Linked DNA regions of Canis lupus familiaris. The protein of the gene in region 1 interacts with the protein of each later gene in a pairwise test. Links are inferred from orthologs where the notes say so. Each region holds a gene or a part of one and is shown on either strand. Other genes may lie near its edges.

Evidence for each region.
Region 2: the proteins of TAX1BP1 (region 1) and CXXC1 interact in binary tests that used the Homo sapiens proteins (3 or more experiments, as listed by UniProt). The two-hybrid records come from large-scale screens. The link is inferred for Canis lupus familiaris from reciprocal best matches to the Homo sapiens genes TAX1BP1 and CXXC1.
Region 3: the proteins of TAX1BP1 (region 1) and MAP1LC3C interact in binary tests that used the Homo sapiens proteins (3 or more experiments, as listed by UniProt). The link is inferred for Canis lupus familiaris from reciprocal best matches to the Homo sapiens genes TAX1BP1 and MAP1LC3C.
Region 4: the proteins of TAX1BP1 (region 1) and TNFAIP3 interact in binary tests that used the Homo sapiens proteins (3 or more experiments, as listed by UniProt). The link is inferred for Canis lupus familiaris from reciprocal best matches to the Homo sapiens genes TAX1BP1 and TNFAIP3.
Region 5: the proteins of TAX1BP1 (region 1) and PLEKHN1 interact in binary tests that used the Homo sapiens proteins (3 or more experiments, as listed by UniProt). The two-hybrid records come from large-scale screens. The link is inferred for Canis lupus familiaris from reciprocal best matches to the Homo sapiens genes TAX1BP1 and PLEKHN1.

Annotation. Positions count from the first base shown.
Region 1 is NC_049235.1:40,948,760-40,952,272, reverse strand, and holds part of TAX1BP1 (tax1-binding protein 1), read right to left. Parts: intron 2,521-3,513; 5' UTR 2,514-2,520; coding exon 2,352-2,513; intron 1-2,351.
Region 2 is NC_049228.1:78,682,948-78,687,089, reverse strand, and holds the start of CXXC1 (CXXC-type zinc finger protein 1), read right to left. Parts: upstream 2,813-4,142; 5' UTR 2,001-2,812; coding exon 1,998-2,000; intron 1,424-1,997; coding exon 1,305-1,423; intron 1,206-1,304; coding exon 1,105-1,205; intron 845-1,104; coding exon 609-844; intron 518-608; coding exon 323-517; intron 1-322. UniProt on the Homo sapiens protein: Transcriptional activator that exhibits a unique DNA binding specificity for CpG unmethylated motifs with a preference for CpGG.
Region 3 is NC_049228.1:33,301,748-33,305,859, forward strand, and holds the start of MAP1LC3C (microtubule-associated proteins 1A/1B light chain 3C), read right to left. Parts: upstream 2,811-4,112; 5' UTR 2,685-2,810; coding exon 2,627-2,684; intron 2,526-2,626; coding exon 2,470-2,525; intron 2,292-2,469; coding exon 2,185-2,291; intron 211-2,184; coding exon 1-210.
Region 4 is NC_049222.1:30,483,161-30,487,372, forward strand, and holds the start of TNFAIP3 (tumor necrosis factor alpha-induced protein 3), read left to right. Parts: upstream 1-1,412; 5' UTR 1,413-1,548; intron 1,549-2,509; exon of another isoform or gene 2,510-4,212. UniProt on the Homo sapiens protein: Ubiquitin-editing enzyme that contains both ubiquitin ligase and deubiquitinase activities.
Region 5 is NC_049226.1:56,673,354-56,676,379, forward strand, and holds part of PLEKHN1 (pleckstrin homology domain-containing family N member 1), read left to right. Parts: intron 1-804; coding exon 805-951; intron 952-1,051; coding exon 1,052-1,132; intron 1,133-1,256; coding exon 1,257-1,329; intron 1,330-1,616; coding exon 1,617-1,744; intron 1,745-1,826; coding exon 1,827-1,958; intron 1,959-2,139; coding exon 2,140-2,220; intron 2,221-2,901; coding exon 2,902-2,977; intron 2,978-3,026. UniProt on the Homo sapiens protein: Controls the stability of the leptin mRNA harboring an AU-rich element (ARE) in its 3' UTR, in cooperation with the RNA stabilizer ELAVL1.

The DNA.
Region 1 (3,513 bases):
CTCAGTCTCTCATGAATAAATAAAATCTTTGAAAAAATAATAATAAGCAGGCTATGACCAAAAAAAATGAAGTTACATATACAGAAGCTTTATATGGGGAACCTGGGTAGCTCAGTTAAGCGTCTGTCTGCAGCTCAGATCATAATCCCAGGATCCTGTGATCAAGCCCCACTTTAGGCTCCCTACTCAGCATGGGGAGTCCGTTTTTGTTTCTCCCTCTGCCTCTCCCCCAGCTCATGCTCACAAGCTCCCAAATAAATAAAATCTTAAAAAAAAAAAAAAGGAAGCCTTATATGGCACACTGGTAAAGTTATTTGGTCTTGGCGTTATTCTACAGATAATGAAAAACTAAGAGTTTGAAACAAAAAGAAGATATGTTCAGATTTTCATTTTATAATATAGTTTATATACAGTACTTTGAAGAACAGATAAGGTAGGGGGACAAGAATGAAAACAGGGAAAACAAGTGCAATAATTTTGGAAAGGGCATAAAACTAGAGCACTGATATCACAGATACAAAAATACATATGCAATAAAATGTAAAGAAATGGTGTTTGAATAGATTTGAAAGGAAAGTAATTAGCTTTTGGCTTAGGCAATAGGCCATTAACTAAAAATTGAGGGGAAAAAAAAACTTCAAAGGAAAAAGGTAAAGATTCATCTTGAAATGCAATTTATCATACATCAGCCTACATACCTACATATGCAAAGACATCCCATTGCCCAAAATAGAAACCTACATTTTAATTTTAGCCTATAACTAAAGGTCTCCATAGATAGTCTGAAGCTTAATTCCAACATTACCTCCCTCTACTTTCCTAAATGAAGGTCATTTTCTAGTCAAACTAACTTGTCTCAATAACATTCTCAACTCTGTGGCTCTGCTTATACCATTTTCCTGCCAGAAATGCCCCTCCTTTCCCTCAATCTTATTTCCTTGCTCTACTTTTGTCTGACCAATTCCTATACAAAACACCAATTTTCACTCAGCTTCTTTAACTTGATAACCCATACTTCACATAAAATCAAACCAGTACTAACTTCATAAAAATGCTTACAATGAATGTATCCCCATTTTGGAATTTGACTCAAACAATAAATAGATTAAAAAATAGTAAATGATTCCTCTATCATCAAAATCAAGGAAGGGATTCAAAAAAGAAATGAAACGTCATTAGATGCCAAAACTTTCTTTGTCCAATAGTTTTTCGGCCCTCCTCACTCTAAAAGGCTGACTTTCACTTCTAGATACCTGTGTTTCATTCTGGCAGCTGTTCTTTCTTTCTACTTTGTTGTAACTTATACACACCATGCAATCAAAATTTCAAGACCCTTAAAATCATATCTAAAACTCATTCTGAGGGAGAATCTAGAGGAACTGAGGAGAAAAGTTTTATTATTTGGACATTTACGACATTTTGATTGTTGAAAGGACACTTTTTAATTTTATTTAAGTAATCTCTACACCCAATGTGGGGCTCAAACTCACAAACCCAAGATCGAGAGTCACATGTTCTTCCAACTGAGCCAGCCAGGCACCCTAAGGACTCACCTCACGTTTTAGTTATCCACTACATTCTTAAGAGTTGAAATTGCCAGTAAATTTCTAGCACAGAGAAGCACCACCATAAAGATCACCTCAAAGTAATTCTCAAGCAACTACTATACAAAATGACTAGCAAAAGGTAAGAACTGGGATTCCTGTCATCAGAGAGTTTACTATTTAGTCATGTAAAAACAGAATACTCTTAATAAAATGGGGCAGCCCGGGTGGCTCAGCAGTTTAGCACTGTCGTCAGCCCTGGGCCTGATCCTGGAGACCCAGGATCAAGTCCCATGTCGGGCTCCCTGCATGAAGCCTGCTTCTTCCTCTGCCTGTGTTTCTGCCTCATGAATAAATAAAATTTAGAAAAAAAAAAAAAAAAAAGCATAAAATGACATGAGCAATAATTAATCAACGTAGAATAGAAAAATAACACGGCTGTAGAGTTGTATAAAATTAATTATAAATGACTGAAGAGATAGTAAATGATAAAGCAACTCAAAGGAAAAGACCTTTTTTCAAATAAGGAATGGAAAAAATGGAAGGGAAAGAAAGGTTCCAAAAAGTGTTTCACAGACCTTTTGATCAGAGAGACGGGCAAAACTGGTGAACTTTAGTTCCCAGTATCGTATACCACCCTGCACTATTAGGTGTTTCATGTTTATAAAGCATTTAAGTTTACAAATGTAAAAAGACCCTTATCGCAGAGTGAAGACAAGGCTAATACAAGCTACTTATCAACCTGCTTAAAAAGAAAATAGAGTACCTATACCTACATGGAAGAAACATGCAACAAACTGTTCTTACCTTGAATATACCAACCCAATCTTTTGGATGTGGATGGATATATGGAGTTAAGGTGTAATGACATTCCAGGTGTGCATTAGGAAGATAACTCTTGGCCACATTTTGAAAGATGACATGGGCAAAGTTGGAAGTCTGCAAGGGGACTTCTTGAAAGGATGTCATTGTGAATCTGAAACAAGCAAATCATACAAGTTGAATGATACCAACTAACACAAAGTTTATACCTTCAGAAAATACACAAAACTAAATGCAAATTACAAGAGCATCTGCATGCCATAATTATTGAGAAGACACACACTTGGAATTCCTCCTTAAAAACATGATTGAGGGCAGACCCGGTAGCTTAGCGGTTTTGCACCGCCTTCCGCCCAGGGCGCGATCCTGGAGATCTGGGATTAAGACCAACGCCAGGCTCCCTGCATGGAGCCTGCTTCTCCCTCTGCCTGTTTGTGTGTGTCTCTCTATCTCTAATAAATAAATAATTAAAAAAAACATGATTGAATATATAAAAATACAAACTGATGGAATGCCTGGGTGGCTAAGTGGTTGGATGCATCTGCCTTTGGCTCAGGGTGTAATCCCAGAGTACCTGAGTCAAGTCCCACATCAGGCTCCCTGCATGGAGCCTGCTTCTCCCTCTGCCTATGTCCCTGCCTGTGTCCCTCATGAATAAACAAAATCTTTTTAAGAAATAAAACTACAGGGGATCCCTGGGTGGCGCAGCGGTTTGGCGCCTGCCTTTGGCCCAGGGCGCGATCCTGGAGACCCGGGATCGAGTCCCACGTCGGGCTCTCGGTGCATGGAGCCTGCTTCTCCCTCTGCCTGTGTCTCTGCCTCTCTCTCTCTCTCTCTCTCTCTGTGACTATCATAAATAAATAAAAATTAAAAAAAAATTTAAAAAAAAAAAAAAGAAATAAAACTACATCTGCAAGACATAAATGTTTCCCATATTTTGTGCTCTACTTTTGAGAAAAAGGATACAACTGAGGATTTACTCAAAAAATCTATACAGTATCACAGACTCAGTACAATTATTGATTGTATACTACATATAAGAAACTATGACAATGTCCCTATAGTACTTGCTCCTGTATCATCATAAAAATCCCCATAATGTGACAGGAAAACCTGGGCAAGCTTTTTGCTAACCAAATGAATCTAA
Region 2 (4,142 bases), on another chromosome or scaffold:
CTCCCAGACACACCTAGTACCCCCGCTTCACATCACCAGGACATGCTCAACCCTGCTCCACCTGCCCTGACGTGCCTGACCGCTGAAAATGGCCGGGGGGGGGGGGGGGGGGTCTGCCCTGCCCACCTGGGGTCGGGGATGCCCCTGCTAGCCCCACACACCTGGTCACGCCCTGTTCACCTACACAGGCCAGGCTCCTTCCCACCTGTCTGTGTGTAGCAAGGCCCCAGCTCACCCGCCCAGCCTGCCCCCTCCTGGCCTCCACGAGCCTTTCCTGGACACACTGACACCCCCAGCCCTGCCCAGCTCTACCCATGCTCACCCGGGCCCGCAGCTGGCACTGACGCAGCCGGCACTTCTGCCGGATCTTGTTGGGGCCCCCAAACTTCTTCATGTCCCGACAAAAGTCACAGTGGCCACAGTCTTCGGTGCGCCGGCAGGCCTCACACTCGCCACACATGCGGGCTGACCGTTTGATCTGCTGCTGCTGCTGCTGCTGCTGCTGCTGCTGGTGATGCTGAGGGGAGAGGCCCAGTACAAAAATCAGGAACGTGTACGGGGCCTGCGGGAGGCTCAGCTTACCTATCCCAGCCCCAGCAGCCACTCACCTGGCTGGGTGTGGCCACCAAGGGCTGTGGAGAGGATTTGTGGGGCGAAGCAGAGCCCCGAGCAAGCATCGCCCCAACCCCTGTCCCTGACCCCGCCCGACGCTGCAGGTCTGGATCCGGGGCAGGCCTCTTGCGCCCTCCACCCTCATCCCGGGGCTCACTGCCGTCTCGCTCATTGCTGTCCCGCTCCCGTGACTTCTTGTGCCGATAACGGATTTCCAGCTTGGGGTCTTTCTCTGTGGGGAAGACAGTGGGGCCAGGGTGGGTGGACCCTGAGGGATTCGGAGGGTTCCTCTTCATCTTGGTCCCCCCCACCTTCTCCCCGTCACTCCTCCGGGGCAGGGCTACCCCGCTGGGGGACGCTCTAGCCAAGCGCCCGTTGGAGTCTCCGCTGCAGCTCACCACAAACCGAGTCCCTCGGCCCGGGACCCACCCTCCTTGAAGGCTTCTCCCTGGAGGCAGGTGGGTGTGCCCCCCGTCCAGGCCGCCCCCTCACCTCGGCACTCCCGACAGTACCACTCCCGGATGGCCTTGGCCATCTTCTCAGTGATCCGGATGCAGTCCCCATGGAACCACTCATTGCAGTTGTCACACCCGCTGCAGAGGATGGGGTGAGTGGTGCAGATGTGAGGGGCCGCACCCATCAGCCTCACCCAACCTCGCCGGCGTCAGCCCGCCCGCCTCTCCCCGGCTCACATCATGAAGCAGTTGATGTCTGGTTTGCGGCAGATGCAGTAGATGGGCGCGTTCTCGCCGTTCTCCGACTTGCTGTCCTCCCCAGCGTCTGGAGGCTCTGGGTCGGAGCCGTCCCCCTCCTGCGGGACGGTGCCTTAGAGCAGCCCCACCACGGCCTCCACAGACCGCGACCGTCTGCCCACGCTTCCCACCGCGGCTCCTCGCGACCCTCCCGGCCCGGCCCACGCCGGCACCCCGACCTCCCGCCCCGCCCCGCTCACGGTCACGGTCGCGGTCACGGTCACTAGCGCCCGGGCAGCCCCGCCCCCTCGCGCCTCCCCGCCGGCCCGACGCCGACTGCCCCGCTCGCTACGGGCCGCCGGGCAGGCTCAGCCCAGACGCCGGGTCCCGCCGCCCCGCAGTCCCCGAGCGGGCCCCCGACGAGCTGCCGAAAGGCGTCCCCACTAACTTCCATCACGGAGCCGCGCAGGGGCCCGTCACAAAACTCCCAGGTGGCTCACACGTCGGAACAAGCTCGGAACCCCGGACCCCGACATTCCACCCGCAGCCCCCTCTGAGGCTCCCCACAGGCCCCCGCCCGAGCGCCCGCGGACGCCCCTGACGGTTCACCACAGACCCCCCGAGTCTGCCCACGGACCCCCCGCCGCCGACCCGCCGACCCCTACCGCCGACCCTCCCCGGCCCCGTACTTACCATCTCTCCGCTCTCGGCGCACCCCTCTGCGACCCCCGCCAGCGACCCGCGAACCCGCACAGACCTCTCGGCGGCGTCCGCGGCCGTTGTAAAGGCGCCCACAACTACTTCCGCTTTGGTCGCGCCTCCCGGGCACCGTACTCTTATTGCGCAGGACTAATGCGTCGGCTCCGCACCAAACAAGTCGATCCGCCGCCTAGAGCCGCCACGGTCTCTCAGGCGCCACCATCTTGACGACCAAGACCGTACGGCGGTCAGGGCCGTAAACTAGTAGGAAACATGGCCGCACCTATGTGGCCGCTTTCGCGAGGGCACCGCCACCTTGTCGGCCGACTCCGTACGGTGGCCGCTCGTACGGACTCAACGTTACAGGAAATATGGCGGCGCCTGTGCGCGGCTTCCACGCAGATGCCGTCATCTTGGAAACTGATTCCGTAAGATGGCCGAGTCCGTACGTTCACGGGCAATGCATGGCAGCGTCCTACCCGCGGTCTCCAGGAGGGCGCCGCCATTTTGGCATCGACTCCGTACGATGGCGGCTTGCCCTGCAGAGAAGTTCAAAGGAAAAGCGGCTGCTCCCGAAACACCACGTGCCTCGAGTTACACTCCGTCTTCCATTCACTCACGTTTCCCTCCCACGTGTGTTAATGGGGCGCCAGCGGACTGTGCCCATGTTCCCCCGTTCTGTGTCTGACGTCATCCTCACCACCCTTTCGCGCCCCGGGTCCTCCTCGAAGGTCCTCAGCCCAGCCCGGCGCCCTGCAGCCTCGGCCCTTGCGGGAGCGCGGTCACCCTCCGAACGGAAGGATGCAGGTGAAGGGCCCGACCCTGGTGACAAGGGGCCGAGCCACAGCAGACCCCGGAACCCGAGACACCGGCTACACCGCGTCTTCCCCTGACCCCGCCACCGCCGGGATGTGGATTCGCCGGGATCCCCGTGACGTCCACTCTGGCTCTCTTCCATCAGACATACTCAATTCTCTCCTATGAAGTTAGTTCTTACAATTTTTTAATTAGACTCCGTACATTTAAAAAAAAAAAAAAAACCGGACAGGTCGGAGCTCTGGACACGTCCTTAAGGCCAGGCTGTAACTCAGGCAACCTGAGCGGTCGGGCGGGTTTTAACGGGTCAGCGCCCCCGCCCCAACCCCCAGCAGATGCGCGAGCCCGGGTCACAGGGAATGTCCGCGTTCAGGGTCACGACTCTATTCAGGTTGGGGGGGCGGGGGGCCTGGGGAAAATGAAACTTGTCACCGGGTGCTGACAGTCGTTCTGGATTTCTTGGCTCTGGACATCATAGTAACGTACTTGCTCCTGATGATTCTCCTGAGGGCGGTGTCGGGTCTGATTTTTGTTTTTGTTTTCACCTTTCCTAGACATTTTTACTCGTGGCCCCTCCACACCGTCACAGACAACCGAAGTCACAGGAGCTGCATCATGGACTGTGTGACCCTCTCTCCTTAAAACGCGTCTTCTTCTTCTTCTTTTTTTTTTTTAGAATTATTTATTTATTTATGATAGTCACAGAGAGAGAGAGAGAGGCAGAGACACAGGCAGAGGGAGAAGCAGGCTCCATGCACCGGGAGCCCGACGTGGGATTCGATCCCGGGTCTCCAGGATCGCGCCCTGGGCCAAAGGCAGGCGCCAAACCGCTGCGCCACCCAGGGATCCCCTAAAGCCCGTCTTTAATCCACAAAGTGGACCTTCAGATCCAGACTTGCCTCCTTTTTCTAGTTAATACTGAATTAATCTTAATTTGATTGTAACTTATTTTAATTAACATAATTCTTCGAATTTAGTTCATTTAATGTATTAAATTAACTTTAGTTAGTATAAATGAATATGCATGTGTTGGTAAGATACTCAGATAAATTTAACCAATAAATTTCAAATAATTCAATTTTAACTTAATTACAATTTGATGTATGAAAGTAAATTTAAGGGAATATAGTTCAAGTTTAACTTAAATTAATTACTCATTTAATTTAACATCACTGACTTGACTTACTAAATTTAATTTTATTTAAAATATTAGTTCAGGGGAATCCCTGGGTGGCTCAGAAGTTTAGCGCCTGCCTTTGGCCCAGGGCACGATCCTGGAGTCCCAGGATCGAGTCCCACATCGGGTTCCCAGCGTGGAGCCTG
Region 3 (4,112 bases), on another chromosome or scaffold:
TGGTTCTTGACATGCACTGGAGAGGACGGCAGGATTTGCTCCGACCCTAAGCAGCCAAACATCTCCTGGGAGGCGTAGGTCATGTACACAAAGCCGTCCTCATCTTTGTAGTCCCTGTAGACTTCTGCCATGGTCATACTCATGCTGACCAGGCTCCGATTGTTCACCAGCAAATAAAAGGCTTCAGTGGCCCCAAGGACCAGGCGGCTCCTGGGTGGGGAGGAGTGGGGGGCAGGAAGGGAAAACTTTAACTGGGCATGGAATGGGCCCCTGACCCAAGCCCTGGCTTACCTCTGTCTGTCCACGGCAAACATGTCTACCCAAGGAGCCCACCTCTCCACTCTAGTGCATTGTCTTCAAACTTGACAATTACCCGGGAGGGCTTGTTGAAAGCAGACACCTGCACTCCACACCAAGAGTAAGGCCATCCTATCATTAACTAGGAGACATACCAACACAAAAATGCTAAGCCCTCTTTGCTCTCAAACTCAAGGTATGTACAGCCCCAGACATACAAAAGTGATTACAGTATCTCCCAGCATCTCATTGTTAAATAGCTTTGGAATGAAATGTTGAAAGGTTACTACCCTTTCCTCCCTCTGCCATCTCTCCCCCCACCTCAAGGAGATAGAGAAGCAGCTTAGTTCATTTGGACAGGCTATAATGTCAAGGTCAATCTGAGGCCTGGTTCATCCTGGAGTGGAGGACAACATGACAGCGTAGACACTCAGGTAAGGGATCTGTCTCCCCTGCAGCACACCTCCATTTGCTCTACTTGGAGAGGTAGGCATAGCTTGCCCACTCTGGTCTCAGAGATTTGAACTTTCAGGTGAGCTAGGTCCATGTGGTTTTGGGACACAGGTGGCTAGAAATTGATTAATTTTATAACCAGATAACCTCTCCCAAAATAACCCTGAAGATTTCAGCTTTGATAATTGCATGGTTGTCTGGGTAAAAGAAGTGTTCTACAACGGGAATGGATGGAGCTGGGGACCAGTGCATTGCCTTCAGCTCTGCAGGAAACACTCCACACAGTCCACACACCCACCTCCTGTCCTTTGCTATACTATCTTTCAACGAGGGTTGTGGCATCCTCTGGAGGAAGAGGTTCTGGGGAGAGATTTTTTTTTTTTTTTGTCTATTCTGTTCACTGCTTTAAAGACAGCCTAGAAAGAATCCAGAACATCACTGATGCTCAATAAACATTCTGGAGCATTAAATGTTGGCATAGAGAGGGGATTAGGGCTGGTAGAAAACAAAGGATGACCTCTGTCTGGGAAGGAGAAAAAGAATGGCTCTCAGAACTCAGAGAGTTGTTTCTAAGGGAGGTGGGTGAGGGGTGGTCACTCTTTGTTACATCAACATGTTGGGATATAATCCTAACACTGGTCATCCCTTAGGCACTTCCATTCACACGGGGCCAACATAAGCTCCCCAAGGAGAGGATATCAAGATCCTCTTAAATAACTCATCAAGACAAACAAGACAGAGACAAACACACACTCATAATGAATTCTTAAAGAAAAAGCAGCTATGCAGCTTGCAAGGGCTGGCCTTTCTGGACTTTTCAACCCCATGAAGAATTACCCTCTGGTAATTACTCTCAGATCATTTTTGTTGAATCCATGTGTCAAGTGACAGTACTTACCCCTCTTAAGCTTTGAAAATAGCCCCATTTTCTTTGCTGTGCCTTAACCTAAAGGAGGAACATGTCTGGGGACACCTTTCCTGTCCTCCCTCCCAGTGAAGGGAGTGCCTGCCTTTGGAAGAGGTCCTCATTCCTCCAGGGCACAGACACTTTAAAGGTACCGTGTGTCTGCTGGGAAAATGAAGACTGAGTGTTTTTTTTTTTTTTTTTTTTTAAGACTGAGTTTTAAACAGCTTGTGGAAGAACAGATCTTTTGGACTAGTCTCAGAGCCAGGACTACTTCCAAAACTTCTTAGAAAAGTTGGCGGCTCTTACTCTCTTTAAACTTGCTATCTGTGGGATTTTCCTCGCCTGTTTAAGTCAAATTACTTCTCAGAGCATCTTTTCTGGGCCCTACAGAATCTAAGAGGTGAGTCGCAAAGGAAATCTTTTCCCTCTCTTACAGATTCTCCCCCTCCTCAAAACCAAACCAATTAACAAAGCAAACAGAAAAAGCCTCACCTAGCACACTCCCCAGCGTGCACATTGTCACCTACCGGATGATGCTGAGGAACTGGATCATGGTTAGCTCCTGTGGGACCAGGAACTTGGTCTTGTCCAGTAGGGGCAGGAACTTCTCCCTGGGGTAGCGCTCCACTATCACCTGTCGAGAGGGTCAACCCCCAAGAATGTAACTCAGAGGTCTCAGTATCTTAGAAAATTAGAACAGGGAGAGACAGTGGGGTTTTTTTGTTTTGTTTTGTTTTCTTCTTCTTATTTTTTCTTTTTTTCTCTCAAGGAACAGAGTATACTCCTTTTCAAAAAGCGTAATGCGGTCTTACCGGGATCTTGTTTGGGAACTTTGCTCGGATTCCGGCAACTTCCTCTTGTCTGGTTGCTGTGAATATTTCAAAGATAAAAGAATAAGTAAACAGCAGGAGAAGTCTGTATCCTCTTCCCTCTCCCTAGCAACCCAGACAGCTACCCTTAGAATTTTACCTAAACTCTTCCTCTGCTTGAAGGGTCTGAGGCTTTGGGTTTTCTGTGGTGTCTGCATTTTGCTCAACAGCTGTGTCTGTGTCTGACTTAAAAAAAAAAAAAATCCCACAACCAGGACCTAACTCATTCCTCAGCTGCTTCCAAACCGCCCCGCAGGAGCCTAAAGGAGGCCCTTATGTAGGGCTGTGTGACATCAGGCTTCCCCAACCCTCCTTCCCCTCCCCCTCCCTGGGTAGGAGGAGGTCAGCCCAGAGTAGGAGATGGAACAACAGCCACTTGCTTGCTTCTCAGACAAAGTCACTCTGCTCATGGCCAGTTCAAAATGTTTCTTTGCTGGAGAAATTAGGGTTCACAATAAAATCAGTGGCTGGGTCACCAAGCAGCCTATGTCTGGGATGAGGACCCTGGAGATACCAAATAGCCATTTGGTAGGGACAATCTTTTTATTTTTTATTTTTTTTATTTTTTTATTTTTCATGAGAAACATAGAGAGAGAGGCAGAGATATAGGCAGAGGGAGAAGCAGGATCCTAGTGGGGAGCCCGATGCTTGACTCGATCCCAGAACTCCAGGATCATGCGCTGAGCCGAAGGCAGATAGATGCTCAACTGTTGAGCCACCCACCTGTCCCTTCTAGGCACAATCTTGTGCTTTAGTAGGAGCCTATCTTGAAGGTGGGCCAGGATGGGGCTGCCCCGCGCTGAACTGGGCTGCCTTACTCCCGCAGCAGTCCTTCACAGCCAGTTTTCACAGAAAGAAACCTATGATCAGAAAGGTAAAGGCATTTCCCCAAAGTCATACAGCCAGTAAGAGAGGCAGTTGGGATTAAAACTCAGATTTGGTACAAAGTAGGGCACACTCCAGTATATGCTGCCATTTTATTTTCTCTGCCATAAAGGGGGGAAGGAAGCCCAGTGACCCCCAAAACCTCCCTTCAAGAGATAAGAAATAGAGGCCCATAGAGGTTAACTGGTTTGCCTGGGATCCAAGGGCTGATAAGAGGTAAGACACAGGTCTCCCAGGTCTCAGCCTCCAGGGTTTTGCTTCCAGAAATGTATGCACACCCAGGCAAACCTCTGCACTCCGAGTGAGCAGAGGGTTTACATTTCCCACACTGATTTCCCGGCAGAATCACTCAACAGTGAAGAGTCTTCAAATGAACAGTGTGACATAAAGGAAGGTGATTTTACATTCTCTATGTTTGCTTCATGAATCAGTGTGAATCTCAGGGCTTTGGCTAATCATCAGGAATGGACATCCAGTGATTAAATGATAGCATCACTGACAAGTGGCTTCATCCTCTGACTCTCCCTCTGATGCCCTTCAGAAAGGGCACACATGCTCATGGGGCTGCGATAATGGGGAGCAAGTGTGTACTTTGCATTTGTAGTCAAGCAGCTTTCAAATGCACAATCTCATTTAAACCTCCGTTGTCTTGTGGATGGGAAGGGCATGTAGGATGCATACTTTGCAGATGCACACCTAGC
Region 4 (4,212 bases), on another chromosome or scaffold:
AAAAGTCCCAGCCATTGGTTTCAAATGGCCAGCACCAGCCTTGGAAGCTTGGCCACTTCTGACTCTCCGCTCTGAGTGTCTCTTTGCCAAAAATGTGCCACCTGGTCCTCATCCAGTCCTCCATCCAGTCTCTGCAGGTCCTTACTGGAGAGGAAAGCATATTTTTCTAATTCCAAAACTGGGATACGAGGCCCAACTAGTATAAGTAAGTCTAGAAGGGGACAATGCACAGAATATTTCAATCTGGTTCTAGTTTAGCTATTCTAAGAAATGCGCCAAGGGGGACTCTTAGCCAGTCAAAGTGCCTGCCTCTCCCTCTGCAATTCAGGCACCTCCACTGTCCAAGTGGCTGACACCTATTTCCACAGGACGTCCTTTGGGTAAAGACTGCGGGTTACCACACTATTTAATAAGGGGTGGGGGTCGTGGGTGGGTAAAATGTATTATCAGCCCTTGACACCTTGGCCTGAACTAATTGTCAGGTCATGAAAAAGAGCTCCTAATAGGGCCTTAGGGGGGCCACGCAAGGACAGTAATAATGGACTAGAAATGATTTCTAAACCGAAATGTTCCTGCGTGCCGAGCCCCCTGGGCACCTGGTGTGCAGGAAGGGAGAAAGGGAAATCAGTAAAGTGCAGAACAGGGCTGATAGTTGCTCTGATTCCCAACTTCACCTAAGATAGGTTTTGCTCCTGCAAATTTCAAGGCTGTGGGGCCTCAGGAGGTCACCCCCAACAGGCCGCCGTCTGGGCGGCAGAACGCTGGGATGGGGACGCACGGAGGGTTGTGAAATCCCCACCGGGGCCCAGAGTAGGGCGCTCCCCGACGAGCTCATCACGTGCACAGCCCTAGCTTTTCCAACCCAGCCCCGAAGGCTGCGGTCCCGGACGCCCGGGTGGTTTTTAGGGTTTTCTTTCTTTATTATTTCCCTTATTGTTCTCCACGGTTGGTGATTTTCTGCAGAAAAACGGCTGAGAAAAAAGAACCTATTTCATTTCCAGTTCCCATCACCGCGATTTCCACATGGATGTGACGTTGGGCCAGCTTCCGAAATGCCCAGGTGACTCACGCGGGGACACCCGGGGGCGGGGCTCAGGAGTTTCTCGCGCGGGGGGGCGGGGCGGGGCGGGGCGGGGCGGGGCGCCGCCGGCCTCCTGCGCCGCCCGCGCCCCCTGCGCCCCCTGCGCCCCCTGGCGGCCGGCGACCGCGGGGCTCGGCGCCGGCCCGGGCGTCACGTGACTGGAAAGTCCCCGGGTGGAAATCCCCGTTCTCCGCCGGCGGTAAAACAGAAAGGGAAAAAGAGAACTGGCAGTCTGCAGTCCTCGCAGCGGGCCGGTGCAGCGCGCTCGGAGCCCGCGGGGGCGGAGCGGTGACAGCAGCCGCCGGGACAAGTGCGGCGGCGGCGGCGGCGGCGGCGGCGGCGGGCGCGAGCCACACAGCCCCGCGGCGAGCGAGCGCCGAGCCCCGGCGTCCATGGGGCGCCTCCTCCGCGCGGCCCGGACCTGACCCGGACTTGGGACTCTGGAAGAGGATCGCGCGGCCGGACAGGTAACCGCCGCGTGCCCGTGCCTCTGCCAGCGGCGTCGCGGGGCCCGGGCTGCGCGGGTGCGTCACCGGCAGCTCCTCGCGGGCGGGAGCTTGTCGGCCCGGGCCCGGCCCGGAGCTCGTCGGCCGTCGGCGCTCACTGCGGGATGTGAAGTGCTGGGAGTCGAGGCGGCCGCGCACGACGCTGGGGTGACAGCTCGGGAGCCCTCCGGCCAGCTGTTCCTTGTAGATGCTGCCAGGAACGTAAGCTGCAGCAGGCGGCTGGAGAGGAGCCCCCGGACGGCCAGGTCGCGTGGTCCTCGGTGCTTTGCCCCTTTGCGTGCCTTTTTTATTTTTCGATCAAGCTCTGGATGCTCGCGGACACGGAGACCTTGCAGAGCCGACCCGCCGTGGCTTCTTCCCGGCGGGTGCAGAGCCAGGCCACCCGCCGGGCGGGGGGGGCGTGGGGGCCCGGGCCAGCCAGCCTGCCCTGGGTCGGCTTGCAGACCCCGCAGCCCAGTGCAGGGAGGCGGGTGGGCGGAGGGCCGGTGCTGAGCTGCTGCAGGCGCCGCAGTGCGCGAGGAGTGTGCATGCTCAAGCGGGACGTTGGCCGGCTTTTCGGGTGCTCCAGTGGACGGCGACCTGGAGGCCCCTGCCCCAGCCCCTACCCCACAGTCAGACGGTCGTTGTCAGCCCGGGTCGTCCCACATCCTGCCACCTGGCCTCTCAGGAAAGCAGTGGTATTAAGTAAGGAAGGAGCTCAGCGCTTTTGAGACCGCTTTGTTTTCAGTTCTCCCCGCCTCTGATCTTCTTTCCTTGGAAAGCTGGTCTGGTCAAGTGTCTCAGGGCAGCCTTTGGGGAGGACCGTGGTTCATCAGTCCCCTGGACCTTAGCACTAGTGTCTGCAGTTGTTACGCAGCCGGTTATAGCTCCATTCCCATCGTCTAAGGTGCTTCTTTGTTTTTTGTTTTTTTTTTTTCTCTTTTTAACAATTCTGTGTACAAGTTTTGGAGTTTAGGAGTGAGAGTTACCAAAAATTCGATGAGGCATTTATTGATTTAAAAAAAAAAAAAAAAAGTCAGTGAGGTGACAAATGTAAAAGAAATGGTAAGGGTGATAGCATATGTCTTTACCTGTAAGGACGTTACAGTTATAGGTCAGGAAAATTTATTCTTTCATCTTAAACGTGGAGAAGTCCGAGAACTGGGAACTTGGCTGGTGGGTTCTAATTCTTTTCAGGAGGCGATCGATTCCACAGTGTGTGCAAGGCTAAAACTATGAATGAGATGACCCAGGGCTATACAGTACTGACATTTGCATGTCTTACATATGGCAAAGAGCGCTTGTGCTATTTGAGGTCTTTGCTGAAAGATCTTTAAATTAGAAGAGATTAAGAGAAGATTCGGAAAACTCAAAAGGCAACACCTAGCTTGTTTCAAATCTTTTTGCTTCCGGCCTCTTCCCGTCTGGCAGCAGCAGGCACAGGGATGGTGTTGTGGGAACTGCAAGGGGCAGGTGTTGGAAGATCTGGCTTCCAGGCAAAGCTGTCTGCCTTGGGTGGTGTGGAACCTGAGCAGGACCCGTGCTTGTGTTGCCATGGCTGTGGACAGGGAATAAGGGCACCTGTGATTTTTAGTCCCAGCATCCAGCATGGCTCTCAGCAGGTGAGCAGGCAGTGCTTTTTAAGCAATGGACAGATGAATGAGTGATTGTGAGACTGGCCATGCCACAAAGTGGAAATGGGTGTAATGTTTTTATTGCTTCATTATGCTTGTGCCCTGCAATAATTTTGCCCAGTTCCACCTTCAGGGAACTGAAGGAAAGATTACCAACTGGCCCAGAGAATAACTTCTCCCAGGCCTCATTGACAATCAGATTTGGAATCCTGGTCCAAAACTATCACCAGAAAACTCCTCAGAAGCAACCTTGGGTCATCTACTTTAACCTCTCTATTTTGGACCACAAGTTTTAAATCACTTCATCAATGGCTTTAAGAGAGCCTAGACCCACCTAGGAATGGCTTCCCTAAAATCTAGGTTTCTTCTCACTCTTACACAGGTTTCAAGTCTTCCTCAACTAGAAGCTTGCCCTGGCAAATAGTATGGTGCAGGAGTGAGATTAGCAATCTCCATGAAACTTCCTAGGGAATGTCTTCATGCTCCAAAACCATCTTTGCCTTCATCTTGGAAACCAAGATGTATGTTGGGGCACCCTGCTAAGGCTTGTGGCTTTCCACACAGCTCCACACTGCAGAGATCCCACGTTGCATCAATTCACAACATCCTACGCTATTGGCATGGGTTGTAGATGCTGGGTTTTGCACCACCCCCCTCCCCCCGCTTCCTTCATTTATCATGAGCATCCCCCTGGCTGAAACATCTTTCCTTGCCCATTTCCAGACTTTTATTTCCTTCTACCAGCAGATTATGTTTCAGGATTCCAGGGTGAAGACAGGGTGGGAAATGCATTTGAGTGTTGGTACCTGGACAATGATAATAAATGTAGTTAAGTTGAAATAATTGAAATCTAATGCCTGCTCTCGGAAGTGTAAAATTTATTCTTGTATTATTATTATTATTATTATTATAATTCTATGTCCTATTCTGATGTTGTGAAGTTCAGTGGAGAGGTTCTGAAAGACTTTATCATTGACCGTTAAAATTGCAAAGCTTCTTACTGGAAATAGGC
Region 5 (3,026 bases), on another chromosome or scaffold:
AAAGGTATGCAGAGGGGTCAGGAAGGCTGGAATGTTAGGTTACTCAGACAGGTCCTCATGGAGAAGGTGGGTTGTGAGCAGTGTCCTGATGGGTGAGAAGAGAGTTAGGCTGAGTGGTCTGGTCAGAGGGAATAGCCAGTACAAAGGTCCCAAGGCACCTATGGCTGATATGAGAAAATGAGTAGGGAAGGGGCAGATCCGAGAGGACCCCTTGGGCCATTGCTGGGACTTTGGCCTTCTCCATGGGTAAGATGAGGGGCCTGCTGCCGTGTGCTAATGCAGTCAGCACGGGTGCTCGAGAGCTGATAGCTGGTCCTGGTAGCTTTAAATGGGTCCTGGTGGGAGTGTTTACATGGAAATTGCCCCCCACCCCCAGAGACCCAGGTGTTAAACACTTATAGCCAACCTGAGAGGCATGGGAGAGTTTGGAGCATTGTCTCCCTCAGACACCCCTCAGACACCCCTCAGACATCCTCTGACCCACAAGTCTTGGGAGGCTGAGTAATCAAAAAGAAGGTATTACAAGTTAGGAAATATCAAAAATAAGAGTTGAATGTCCGTTGAGTTCAGGCTTCACCATCTCTGCTCTAGACTGTGCAGTTTTATGACTAACAGACAGTGAGCTCACGCGTATAGGCTGCCACTATCTCCACATTAGAGGCTGGGAGCGTGTATGAGGCTGCCGTAGCTACGAATGATGCTGTGTGTATGTTCCTAACCTTTGGGTCATAGAACTGTGGCTATATGTATGGGTGGGCAGCCGGCCCAGCTCAGGCCCCCTCCCCTGAGCTCTGCTCCCCACAGGACATCCGGGGCCTGGAGAGCCCGCGAGAAAACCTGGAACAGCCATTCCTGAGTGTGTTCAAGAAGGGGCGGCGGAGGGTACCTGTGAGGAATCTGGGCAAGGTTATACACTACGCCAAGGTCCAGCTACGATTCCAACATAGCCAGGTGGGGCCAGGCTGGGCCAAGTGGGGGGTGCTCGGGTACCAGCCTGGGGCTTGCCCCCCGCCCCCCAGCCCCTCAGACCGGCAGCCCTACTCTCCCCCAGGACGTCAGCGACTGCTACCTGGAGTTGTTCCCCTCCTACCTCCACTTCCAGGCCCATGGTTCCAAAGGACTCACCTTCCAGGTGAGGGGAAATAGGCAAAAGGAGGAGGCTAGGGGTAGAGGGAGAGAGCAGCCTCCTGGGAGGTGGGTATCCAAGTCCCACTAGGGGTCCCCCAGCCCTCCCCTCCCCGCATGTGCTCTGGCAGGGGCTGTTACCACTGATGGAGCTGAGTGTCTGCCCGCTTGAGGGGTCCAGAGAGCATGCCTTCCAGATCACAGGTGTGTGGGGGGCGTGAGGGCTGCTCAGTGACTTTGGACTCTGGCTGGGCTTCAGAACACTGGAGGGACCCTGCATGCACTGAGGGATCCAGGCTTTTCCTCCAGTGGGTGCATGAGCATTTACCAAGCTGGGTGGGGTGCAGGGCAGCGGGCAGGAGACCTCCAGAGCTGTGAATGTGGCCCTGTTAGTGGCTGTTGGTCCTGGCCCCGGGGTGCGCACAGAGCCCTTGGGTGGGGCCTTTCCTGTGGGCTGCTGGCCCCAGCCCACTCCACCCCTCTACCCCCAGGCCCGCTGCCTGCTCCCCTTCATGTGCTCTGCCCCAGCCAGACTGAGCTAGGCCGCTGGCTGTTCCACCTGGAAAAGCAGATAGCCCTCGTGGGAGGGTTGCAGCGCTGCCACTTGGCACCCCCTCAGGTCAGTGCTGGGAACCCCCATGCCCTTTTCCTATCTCCCCTGTGCCAACACCCTCTGCCTGCCCCTGATCCCCCTTCTCCAGGGTGCCCCTGAGGATGAGCTGCCCTGGACTCTGCAGCACAGTCTGACCCAGCTACGGATGGAATCAGGGCATCAAATGGTGGGCAGTGCCATCTGTGCCTCGAGGGTCAAGCTGCAGCATCTGCCCTCACAGGTGCGTGGCCAGGTGGGAGTGGGGCAGTACCCAGGGGTGGGAGGAGATGGGGGCACAGGGTAGGTGGGAAGACATGGGGGAGGGCACAGAAAATGGGGAGGAGTTTAGGAGGCAAGTGGGGTCAGGCCCTCACACACACTGGTTGGTTGAGGCCCCATTCTGCCCTTTGACCCCTTCACAGGAGCAATGGGACCGGCTCCTGGTCCTGTACCCAACATCTCTGGCTATCTTTTCCGAAGAAGCAGATGGCCTTTGCTTTAAGGTGGGTCCCTCCCCACTGTGGACCCACCCCAGGGAGACGCCCTGTGTGTGGGGGTGGGAGAGGGCAGCGGCTTAGGAGGAACCTGTATTTCGGGGCCTGTTGGGACAGAGTTTGCTGGCCCCACCCCCACCCCCAGCCTGCTGTCCTGGTCAGTCTGGTCTCAGCTGTGATGTGGCCAAGGAAGGGTCTGTGCTTCAGCACCCATTATCATCCTAAAGGGTCCACCACCACCAGCAGGACTATCACGTGGGGAGGTGGCATGGGGGCAGAACCACTCCTGGGAGGTACTCTTGTGCTGGGCCCCAGTATCCCTGAGAGGGGCCTATACTTTTGAGTGGACATTTTCCTGGTGCCTGAGGGGTGTGTGCATGCACGGGCGTGTGTGTGTGTGTGTGTGTGTGTGTGTGTGTGTGTGTATGCATGTATGTTTATGAGAGTCCTTCTGGGGCTGGAGTGAAGCCTCCACTTGTGCCTGCCATTGGCTGATGAAGGCCCCACCCAGAGTCCAGGGGTAAAGGGATCCCTCAGGACAGACAGGGAGCCCTGGCCTCCCTCGGGGATGTCAGCCTTAGCCCTGCCTTGCCCTCTGCCTGCCATCTGAGGGCCCAGCCCAGCTCTGGAGGGTGAGACAGAAGTATGGGCCCAGGCTAAGGCTCCATCTTTCATCACTGCCTGGCACAGGCGGAACTCCCACTCAGCGCCATCCACATCAACCTGGAAGAGAAGGAGAAGCAGATCCGCTCTTTCCTGATTGAAGGTGGGCAGAGGCCCAGCCTGGGAGGGAGGGCATGAGCCAGCTCTTCAGT